Linked DNA regions of Mus musculus. The protein of the gene in region 1 purifies or fractionates together with the protein of each later gene. This does not show direct contact. Links are inferred from orthologs where the notes say so. Each region holds a gene or a part of one and is shown on either strand. Other genes may lie near its edges.

Evidence for each region.
Region 2: the proteins of Mbip (region 1) and Zzz3 purify together in Homo sapiens (affinity purification with mass spectrometry; 4 studies listed by BioGRID and IntAct, counting the BioPlex papers as one, with this or other methods). This does not show direct contact. The link is inferred for Mus musculus from reciprocal best matches to the Homo sapiens genes MBIP and ZZZ3.
Region 3: the proteins of Mbip (region 1) and Kat2b purify together in Homo sapiens (affinity purification with mass spectrometry; 4 studies listed by BioGRID and IntAct, counting the BioPlex papers as one, with this or other methods). This does not show direct contact. The link is inferred for Mus musculus from reciprocal best matches to the Homo sapiens genes MBIP and KAT2B.

Annotation. Positions count from the first base shown.
Region 1 is NC_000078.6:56,343,004-56,347,252, forward strand, and holds the start of Mbip (MAP3K12-binding inhibitory protein 1), read right to left. Parts: upstream 2,892-4,249; 5' UTR 2,798-2,891; coding exon 2,669-2,797; intron 1-2,668. UniProt on the Homo sapiens protein: Inhibits the MAP3K12 activity to induce the activation of the JNK/SAPK pathway. Component of the ATAC complex, a complex with histone acetyltransferase activity on histones H3 and H4.
Region 2 is NC_000069.6:152,447,882-152,451,533, reverse strand, and holds part of Zzz3 (ZZ-type zinc finger-containing protein 3), read right to left. Parts: intron 2,756-3,652; coding exon 2,608-2,755; intron 2,522-2,607; coding exon 2,406-2,521; intron 1,890-2,405; coding exon 1,818-1,889; coding exon of another isoform or gene 1,752-1,817; intron 925-1,751; coding exon 823-924; intron 232-822; coding exon 136-231; intron 1-135.
Region 3 is NC_000083.6:53,646,910-53,650,561, reverse strand, and holds part of Kat2b (histone acetyltransferase KAT2B), read right to left. Parts: intron 1,816-3,652; coding exon 1,679-1,815; intron 1-1,678. UniProt on the Homo sapiens protein: Functions as a histone acetyltransferase (HAT) to promote transcriptional activation. Has significant histone acetyltransferase activity with core histones (H3 and H4), and also with nucleosome core particles.

The DNA.
Region 1 (4,249 bases):
AGTGTGTTTCCTAAGGGTTTTCTAGAAAGATATGTCTCATAACACGGAAACTTCTCACCAGGTAGTGATTTATTAGAACAAAAGTATATCCAGAACACTACCAAGAATATAAAATTAATATCAAAATCAGTCAAAACTTTAGAGGGAGAAGCTTCCACCTGTACATTTGACTGAGTATAAGGGAATCACTATAAACTTTGCTAGACACAATTCAAGTGGAAACAAGTCAATTGTACTTATTTTGCAATAATAATTTATTAAAAATTATGTCATATTTTCTACAAAGTAAAGATGCATGTTTCATGAGCTCAAATACAAATTTAAAGAGCTGTAAGAATAAAAAACCAAGACATGTGCTGATGGATTACTTTCATATTCAATAATAAATGCAGTTATCTTAGTAATCTTATCGTCAAATCTTAACTTAGTGTAAGTTTACCTATGTCAGTATAGCCTATGTAAAATTTCATATTTCTTTATGTTTGCCAAATGTGGACTTAGATGCCCCTGGTCTTAGGCAGTAGGTTTCTGTATCCACTATTTATACAGTAGAGTGCTTAACATAGGAACCTGAGATCTCTTTGGTTCCATGGACAATTCATGTCTTGTTTTTTTATTTTTACAGTTCATTATTCTTGCCACAGTCAACTATAGAGCTCTTGGCAGATTTATGTTTGGGGAATAAGCAGGCAAACCTTAAACCAAAGCAAAGCATCACCCTTTCTAGAGAAAATAATTATAGGAAAGAAATCTTAATATTTGGATCATATTCTCATGTCAGTATGGAAGCTTTCAAAGGCAACTGGAGACACTTGATCTTTTATGGAAACCAAACAGTAAGGTGACAAATTAACTTAAAAATGGCCCCCAAATAATCCAATTATTCATTCAGCAAATTCCCCAGTAACATATGGATTCTATGAATTTTTATCCCATAATCCTTGGGACAGTAATCAGGCGTTCAAATTTTTCTATTAACACACTATTAACACTGACTACTCAGTCATGTATGTTCAGTAGAAACACATTAGTTGCATTTGAAGGAAAAATGCTTTTTAACAATTCAGTTTTACACTTTCTATCGAAAAGCGCTAATAATTCAATGATATTTAAGGTGAACTTAGACATATTACAATTTACATCTTAAAAGTCCCTTTAATTTGTTGCGAAAGGACACATTCCGCAGGGGCAACTTTATAAGTGTGGATGGCTTTCATCCTTAATCACGCATCTCAAAATACATATTACTAAAATAGCATTTAATTAATTTTTTAAAAAATCTTATATTTGACACTTGTTAAAGGACCCTTTACTGTTACAAAAACTTCATTTTCTCTACACATTTTTGGCAAGTGGCATAAGTTAAGTTTAATCATTTTTCCATTTGAACCTTTGAGATAAATTTATATAATTAAAAAACTCAGTATGCAAAATTTAGATATTTTATAATTCAAATAATTTATCAATGTAAATTATTTTGCAATTTCTAAGCATAATATTTGAGAAGATTTTTCTCATCTTGACATTAGAAATATAAATGAATAAATCTTTAAGTTCCAAATCCACGCCAAAAAGTTCTCTAACTTTTAAACTATTTAAAGATCTGAGATGTTACTACTGAAATATTAATAAGGAAAGTGCTTAAGACTTTGTAAGAATTTTTTTCCTAATTGCTTATCAAGCAACTGAGTTTAATTTTTTTTAACTTTTCGAAGTCCAGTAACACCAAACAGAATGTACAACTCAAGTAGTTTGCCAGTCAGAATAAACTTACTAAGGTTTTCCAACTAAGGATTTTAAAAATAATCCTCACAAATCAGGTAAATGTCCTATTCTCACTGGTGGTACCACTGCCCTTGACATAAATGTGTGCTGTGTCCATTTCAAGCACTATAACCAGTCCCCAAACAAATTAGGAAACATGTTTGACACAAAACTCTTCTAAAAGCAGGCAAACATACTTTTGTTCCTTATTTAAACATTGCCTCATTTACATCACGACTATCTAGTAAAGTGTAACCTAGTTTTTAAAATCCAGGTTTACTGTGACATTTTCTGTAAAGAGCAATTAGCTAAGCTACACGACAGTCGTAATGTAGTTAGAAGTGGCCACACATAACTCATCCAACAATTCACACTAAAATTTAGGTATACTACAAATGAAATTGTGGAAATCCTTATATATCCCTCCCCGTTTAAAAGAGTAAGAGATGCAATAAATGGCAAGAGAAACAAAAAACAGAAAAACAAACAAATAAACAAAAAACCCCAGAGTAAATCACCCCCCAAGGAGTGGGGATGGCGCTAGGAAAAGTTTCAGGCCATATTAACCAGTGAGTTTCTGCGATAAATACACTGGAGGCAAAAGGACCGTGATCGCCAGGAACCTCCTTCACCCTCATCACCTTTTAGGCATCTTTTGGGCAAGCTTTCGTCGCCAGGACCCCAGTTTTCTCCAGACCTTGGCCATCAAGCGTGCCGCTGGCATCTCCCGGTCCCAGGAGCTGGGCCCAGGGTCTTCCGGGTGTCACAGCCCGGCCACGGCACACCAGCGGCACACACCGTGCCAGCGGGGCTCCGCGACCCCCGCCTCCGAGAGAACTAAGGGGACAAGGACCGGGATGCTCTCCCTCCCCACCCACCCCTTCCCCGCCGCACCCCCACTTACCTGTCTTGTCAGGGTGTGCAAGGAGCGAAAGACTTCGCAGAGGACCTCGCGGGTGAGGAGGGGGCTGGAGCATTGCTCCAGGCTCCTCTCGCTGCCGCTTGAGGAACTAAGCTCCGCAGCAGCAGCCATGACACCTTCAAAGCAGCCCCCCAACCACCGCGAACAGCGCTCACCCCACCCCTCCCTCGCGGACTTCGTCGCACTGAGATGACGTAAAACTAGAGCGTCTCACTTAGAGCTTGAGGATAGGCCCCACCCTCTGTGTGTGACAGACACACAGGAAGACCAATCAAGAGCAAGGATAGCTGTGCTCCGAGGGAACTTGTGTATGTGAAGCTGGACCTTCTGTCTGGTGGTGTTTTCTGTGGTCCACCTTGGTTTAGAAACCTACTTGGCTCTTAGATGCTCCCTGTGAATGTTGGCAGAGCCTTACTCTTAAGTGTTAGAATTTGAGTCCCGCTATTAAAATTTAAAATGTTAACAGTCGAGTTGTCTTGGAAAAAGATTGCGGGTTAGTGATGGAGCAGTGCTTTACAATTTTCTAATTACTAGAAACTTGACCCAGGATGATCGTTACTGGATAGAACATTTTCATCTCTATAAGACTGTTTGATATGAGGAATTTAAAAAGAACACAAGGGCTACATTATGCTTCTTTTTCCTACCATAGAACGACATTGATGACTACACCTGCAAAATAGTTTATGTCAAAGTTCTGACATGCAACGGGTTCTCAGTGCAATCACTGGACACTTGACCTTAAAATTGTTTCAATATAAATCCAATAGAAATATAAACCAGCCGGGCAGTGGTGGCGCACGCCTTTAATCCTAGCACTTGGGAGGCAGAGGCAGGCGGATTTCGAGGCCAGCCTTGTCTACAGAGTGAGTTCCAGGACAGCCAGGGCTACACAGAGAAACCCTGCCTCAAAACAAAACAACAAGAAAGAAAAGGAAGAAAGAAAGAAAGAAAGAAAGAAAGAAAGAAAGAAAGAAAGAAAGAAAGAAAGAAAGAAGGAAAGAAAGAAAGAAAAGACCAATTTATTCCATGTAACCACACTCTTTAAAATTAGGATATAAAACTAAATCGACTCTTGTTGGGTATTATTAGATAGCTTTATTTTAGCGAAAAAAGTTATAATTTTATAATGTAGAGTTCTATTAATTTTTTTTTCCTTTGAGACAGGGTTTCTCTGTATAACCCTGGCTGTCCTGGAACTCACTCTGTAGACCAAGCTGGCCTCAAACTCAGAAATCTGCCTGCCTCTGCCTCCCGGATGCTGGGATTAAAGGCATGCTCCACCATGCCTGGCTCTATTAAATTTTTAAAACAAGCTTAAAAGATAAAGGACAAAAGAATTAAAACTCTGGCGGCAGTGGCTCAGGCCTTTAATCCCAAAGCACTAGGGAGGTAGAGGCAGGTAAATCCCTTATGAGGCCAGCCTGGTCTACAAAGTGAGTTCCAGGACAGCAAGGGCTACACAAAGAAACCAAAGCTCGAAAAGCAAGCAGGCAAGCAAGCAAGCAAACAAACGATTTAAAACTCTTCTTCATGATAGTTGAGTGCATTTAACATACAGGA
Region 2 (3,652 bases), on another chromosome or scaffold:
AGAAAGAGCCACTGGTTCATGTACAGCCTACAGAGAAATGGCAAGCACAAGGGGAGCACAGCTTAACAAACTCACGCGCTCAGCACTTCTGAGCTCAGCGACCCTCGCTGAGGTCTGGCCGTGTGGACTGCTTACCTTTCTGGAGTATATATATAAGTTAGGTGTTCTGCCTGGAACTGGTATGCCGGCTTTCGTTAGCTTTATGAAGTACTTCTGTACACGACTGGCGACCTAAAGAAACATGACGGCTCTTTCAACATAATGAAATAATCTGATATTTGAGATGCTTTAAGTGGTTAACAATTAAATTAAGAAGTAACTTTTAAATTGCCATCAAAGACATTTATAAGTTATAACCTAGACAAAACCAATTCAAGTCAATTTCCATTTGTTTGATCCCAAAGCTAAGCAATCATTCCTCCTGGTGAGCACCGAGGAGCACACAGGAAGCCCTATCTGCCAGTACTACAGAAAAGAAAACAAGACAATCAGGGATGGTATTAATGAAATGCCACAAAATCCAATAGCACAGTCTAACAAAAAAGGACATTGTCAGCACACTCACTAAACACTCAAGAGAGGCAAGGTCCAATACATACATAAATACATGTGTGTATATATAATTTGTATATATTACACACACACACACGCACATGCATAATGTTTTACATTGACACTAAGCAGTGTTACTTATGCTGTTCAAGCTAGTGACACAAAAGTAAGCAGGGCTAATCAGTTTAAAACTGATACACTACAGCTAGCAATGCTATCAACTGTCCGTGGGAAACCATCTACCATTCAGTCCGCAGCCATTCCCATCACCTGTTTGGCTGTCCGGTTGCCCAGTTCATCAGCAATCTTCTGCCACCGCCGAGATTCTACTTCTTCGGGAGGGTATTTCAGGAGTAGCTGTTCGAGTTTTTTCTGCACCAAATCCAGGAACAAATTTTAATGGAATAAAGGATTCCATTTAAAATACTGGATTTCTGAATAAATACACTCACATTTCATTCAAAACACAGTAAAGCTTTCCCAACTCTAGATGTCATATCACGTTATTAGAGATTCTCAAGGTAGGAACCGTTCCAGGTAGGAGGCTAAGGTGCCACAGGCAAAGTGAGATTAGAGGAGACACCTATAAAAACCCTTATAAAGGCTTCTATTCAATTCAGTGGCAAAATAGCACAAGAAGTCAGAGGAGATATATAGTGGAGCTGTATACATCTCAGTGAACACCGCTTCCCAACTATCTTTTCTTGATTGAACACACTCCCTTCAGCTTTAACAGAAAACATGCAAATTCACTGGATTTGGAATAAGAGACTCTTCCTCTTTTGCGTGATCTGTCATTCAAGCACCTGAGTGAATATTAAAACCCTGAGACACACAACATTTAATCCATAAAATCAAACTTCCTGGGCTTTTTATACAATCCTCAATTCAGCTGAAGGGAACACACAGGAAATGTTCCAAGAATGCCAGTCTAGCTTCTCAGTTCCCCCACAACAGAAATTAAAATGCAACTGATAACAGCTTTGCTTGTCTTGAGGCTTTTCTTTCTCACAGCTGCTTTTAAGAGTATCATCCATGTCTACCCTCCTTCTCAAACCCAGGTTTTTTTCTCAAACAATTTGTCTTCAAAACCCAAAATTCATAATACAAAAAGGTTTATAAGTACTTCTAAATATTTTAAACTCATAATTTAAAGAAATTAAATGCAAAAGGAATGAAATGCAACAGTTAACGCTTGCCTAACAACGCTGTGACAGTCTAGACTTCCTTTTAGCCCAAAGAATCAAGAAGCGTGCATGTGTCACCTGTTCTTCAACAGTCCACAGCTGGTTGAAGGTCTCGGGCTTGCTGTCGTCACACAGGCGACCTCTTATCATCTGCATATAAAAAGGGCTTTAGGTAAATGGAAAATACAAGGGTATACTCAAAGAACACCCTTTAGAATTTTCAAAACATCTTTGCGTAATTTTTAATATATACATCACCTATTTACTGAATTTGTTTCCATATTCTTGTAACTCCTTTCTAGACACAGGAAACATGGGTTCAAATTGAAAACTAGCAGTCCAACTGAGACAAGGCCACATCTGAAATCCTGGTCACACTTTATAGTGCACTGGGACTAGGAACAGCACCCACAAGGCCCACTTAAAATACATAAAACCCCAAAATGTGACCAGCACAAGTTACATCTTATAAGAACATGCAACTAGAAAACTGGGCATAAACAACAGCAAAAGAGTCGTGGCTACCAGTCTGAAGGCAGATTTAGGTTTCCTCTTAACTTGAAAGTTCATGTTCTCATTGTTTGTCAGTAAACAAGTCTTCAGCTTAAGAACAGAAATCAGCACACCGTTCAGTTTCATGCTATTCAGGTGTCTCACACTGCCTACCTGAGGACGGTTATGGGAGCCTTCTGGACCATCACTCAAAGGCAACATGGAGTACGAAAGGGATTCTCCATCCTTCTTAGGATCTAAAGGACTTTTTGGTCTAGCGGGCAACCCTACTAAAAATCAAATCATACACACAATTATTCAATTAGGACACTACAAGACATTTTCCTCATTAAATTCTTATCGTGTGGGTTCTTACCTTTATCAAAAACTAACTTAACTCTCCTAGTATGTCTTTTGCGGTGTTTAAATTCTCTTTCAAAGTTCCCAAGGCTATTGGTGTACTGGTCCCACATGATCTCAGGTAACTGAACAACTCTCTGTGGGTATGGAAGCCCTATGTCAGCCTGGGACAAAAAAGACAAAACAAAATAAAAATATCAGAGTGACAGCGTACATTTAACTCAAAAATAGGTAAAATCAAAATGTGTTATAATAGGCACATTGTAAATACTACTCATAGAGTGCTAAATACGACGTGGTAGTAATATAGTGTGCAGCGATGCAGAGTGTACCGGCAGCAACTTTATACACACACACCACACCAAACACCTATCAGCTCTAAGAACGAGCACAGTGAGTGTGCCAGATGCAACAAATGATGAGACACACAAAATGTGACGTTAGCCTAAAGGTTGTGGCTATTCACCCTTGCCACATAATCATTATGACAACATTCTCTTTCTCAAAGTGCTGGGGGTCAAACCTGGGGGCCTTGTACAAAACATGCATGTGCTACAACCACAGTTACATCTCTTGCTCAAATTATGACATCTTAAAATTCTAAATTAAATCTAGGACAAAGAAAAGCAACCTAACTTTTGAATCTTTACTGAGTAGGTGGATTTTAATACACACCTGCTCATCTTTGTAAAGCTAAGGTGTTCAATAACACATCTCTTTCTGAATTTAAAACATTTCTAAATTAAACCTAGAAATGAAAAACAAGCAAATAGCTAACTGTATATAAATCTAGTAACTATAACCTGCAACTAGAAAACTAAATGCATGTTTTTACCAGAACACAAATAAACCAAGATTAAAGTTAATACATTATTACTTATTTCTCTAACACTTTTAATTTAACTTGCCAGAACTTGTCATTTTAAGAACATCTTTGTGCTCAAACTGTTTATAATAATAAAAGATGGGTTTTTTTCCATGTGTTTATTATTGGGTTGCTTAGGGTCGTTTTATCTTGTTTCTTGAACGTCTCTCTTACAGCCCAGGATGACCTCAGACAG
Region 3 (3,652 bases), on another chromosome or scaffold:
TGTATGAAGTTACGAAACCCCTAAAGCCAATACACAGAAGGTCAGCTTTAGGTCCCCACAGACTGGATAGTCAGTCCAGAAGGAATGAATTTTATGAGATGGTTCTGTTGCAACACTCAATCCTCCAAATGATCTTTGACATTAATAAAAGAGTCACAAAAACAGAGCAGTATGAAACTTACTGATTTAATCTAGCAAAGCCACACCAAAAAGATAGAAGTTGTTTATACACTACTACCCAAGTCATGTGTTCATTTCCTGGAAACGTCTTGAGCCTCCCTGTTCCTGGATGTCTTACAATAAGATGAGAGCAGACTTTCAACCAAAATGTTTTACCTGCATTGACCTAAACTATTACACAGATCCACACTGAGATATTATGCATAATTTGCTAACAAAGTTCCTCAACAAAGACAGCATTGTAAGAGAAGAGAAAAGGCCTGGAGAATGGCTTTAAAGGAGACTAAGGAGCCGGGGATATGGCTCGGAGGTATGGAATATGGCATATAACAAGCCCTTGACTTGATCCCCACCACCACATGAACCTAGCAAGGTGGTTCAAGGTCATTAATCCTGGCTATATAGATAGTCCAAGATCAGCCTAGACTACATGAGACCAGTCCAGGAAAAAAAAAAGAAAGAAAGAAAGAGAGAGAGAGAGAGAGAGAGAAGGAAAGGAAGGAAGGAAGGAAGGAAGGAAGGAAGGAAGGAAGGAAGGAAGGAGGCAGGGAGGCAGGCAGGGAGGGAGGAAGGAGAGAGACAGAGACAGAGAGAAGGAAGATAAAAAGATGAAGAAATGAATACTGAATTCTATGCTTGGTTCTTAACTGAGCCTCCAACAATAACGCATATTATGAATAGCATAAATTGGTCAGATGGTCACTGGACCTAGAGGTTGAAAATTAGGCCATAAGTCAGCAAACTTTCCACTGAAAAGTCAAGAGATGAACTTTTTTTTTTTTTTTTGCAAGACACACATTCCAAGCCTCAGTGATTCCATTTTCCTGCTATGCGCAATGGTTAGCAATTAACACAGCCCAGAAAAGCGATTTCCAGCCTACGACGCTGGACACCTTCACTCCTAGCGAGTAAGAAGCTGACACCCAATTCCTTAGCCCACAAGCTGAGCAGCAGACATGACTGGTAGGCTACAGTCTGCCAACCCTAAACCAGAGAACCTTATAATGAAGTTAAATTTCCTGAGTGCTAACTCACGTGATTATATAAGAGAATTGCTTTCCTATGAGACACAGGCAGATGCACTAGGTGTGATGTATTATTATATCTGTTTCGGACTCTGCAATGATTCTAAAAGGTTCACAGGAGAGGAAAAGGAGGTCAAGAAAGGAAAAAAGGAGGTAATCACTGACGCTTCTCAGCACAACACAGTCCATGGGTGTTTCGTTTTCTTTTGTTTTCTTTTGTTTTGTCTTTTGCATTGCTGGTGGAAGCTTGAAATTCTTCACTATGGAAACGTTCCCAACTACTTGAAACTGTAGTTTGTGCCCCTGTAATTGATATTTATCAAAGGGAACCACATCTTGGTTAGCCACTCCTGACCTCCCTATAGTGGCCTCTAGGTTACAGGTGACCAGCAGTGTGTTCTCAGCACCCCACCCTCATCTGTGACAGCTAGTGTGGCAGGGAGACCAGAAGGTGCCTTGTTCACCCTGCTGACCTCTGGTCCAAGCATCCCTGCAGGGTCTGTGATGGTAGACATGACCTCATTGATCAATTCCACGGGAATATCCCCCATCACTCGAGATCTCTTGGCCTCCTCGGGAGCATGAGAGTTGTTCATTTTCCTCTTTTCTCCTGTGATGTTCAAAATAAAAGGCAAAAGAAAAAAAATGGATGGTTTGAAATGGAAATACATACTGATGGATCTAATGTACTTGGGGAGGAGATGTGGAGTGAGAAAATGTCTTGCCATGTATCCCTGGATGGTCTAATACTATATATATGGGTGTGTGTGGGTGTGTGTGTGTGTATACATATATATAGTATTAGACCATCAATATTACACAGACACACACATATATAATATACATATATACACATATACATATATATATAGTATTAGACTATTAGTATTAGACACACACACACACATATATATGTGTGTGTGTGTGTGTATGTGTATGTGTGTGTGTGTGTATGTGTATGTGTATATGTATGTGTATATGTGTGTGTGTGTGTGTGTGTGTGTGTATGTGTATGTGTATGTGTATGTGTATGTGTATGTGTATGTGTATGTGTATGTGTATGTGTATGTGTATGGCTCGGGTTAGCTTCAAACTGGTGGTAATACTCCTGCTTCTATCTTCCGAAAGCTGGGATAATAGATGTACATTTTCACACTGGTCTCCCTACTAATTTTCTAATAGCACTAATGGCTGTCTCAGGAGGGAAAAAAGTGGTGGTGGAAGAGAAGGGAGATCACCACCACTGCCAATTCCAGATCCATCTTAAAGATTGCTTATTTTCTAAGATGACTTTCAACCTGACATATGAGTTATTAAAGCATGTTTCTTTGTCTTAATTTTTTATTTACTTTTATGTTGTATACATTGCTATTTTGCCTGCATGCATGTCTGTATGAGGATGTCAGATCCTGTCTGGAACTGGAGTTCCAGGTAACTGGGAGCTGTCTGACATGGGTACTAGGAACCAAGCACGGGTCCTCTGCAAGAACAGCCAGGGCTTTGAAACACTGGGCCATCTTTCCAAGCCTAAACATATGGGTTTGGTTTTTATGTTTGTTTATTTGTTTGTTCGTTTGTTGTTTGTTGTTTGTTTTTTGACATAGAGCTTGGTTTCTGTTATTTATTGGAGGATTGGGAGCTCAAGGTCTTCCTTGACTACACAGTGAATTCAAAACTGTAATACATTTCTATGATCATAGATGTCAAAGACTGTTTTAATCGCCTCAAATAGAATGTGTTGGTTGTTGTTATTAAATCTCTAATTTCTTCCTAGCAAGAATCTGTGTTTCCCAATGCTGGGGGTAGAATAATCCCTGAGCATCCAGCAACCCAGGCCTGGAGGACATTTTGTCTGCTTGATATATAAATTAAGAAGGTTTGTTTTTCTTTTTCCTTTTTTTTTTTTTTTTTTTTTTTTGGTTTTTCGAGACAGGGTTTCTCTGTGTAGCCCTGGCTGTCCTGGAACTCACTCTGTAGACCAGGCTGACCTCGAACTCAGAAATCCGCCTGCTTCTGCCTCCCAAGTGCTGGGATTAAAGATGTGCACCACCACGCCCGGCCAAGTTTGTTTTTCAAACCTTCAATGCTGGTTGATCTAATTATTTACCTCCATCTACACATTATACAACAGGTGTTCATATGCATGCTCGTATATTATATTTAGGTACCTTTTTATATATTTGAAAAATACCAGTAAAATGTTTTGCTTTAATAAAAACACTGAGGAGATGGCTATGGTAAAATGACTTGCCTTCCAAATGTGTGACTCAAAAGTCAGATCCTTAGCACCCACAAAAGCCAGGCAGTCATGCTGACCGACTTCTAATTCCAGCCCTTGGAAGGAGGAGGAGGAGGAGGCCAATATCTCTACAGAAAGCTGGCTAGCTAGACCAGCCTTTCTCTGTAAGCTTTGGGTTCAATTGAAATATTTGGCCTCAGGGAATAAT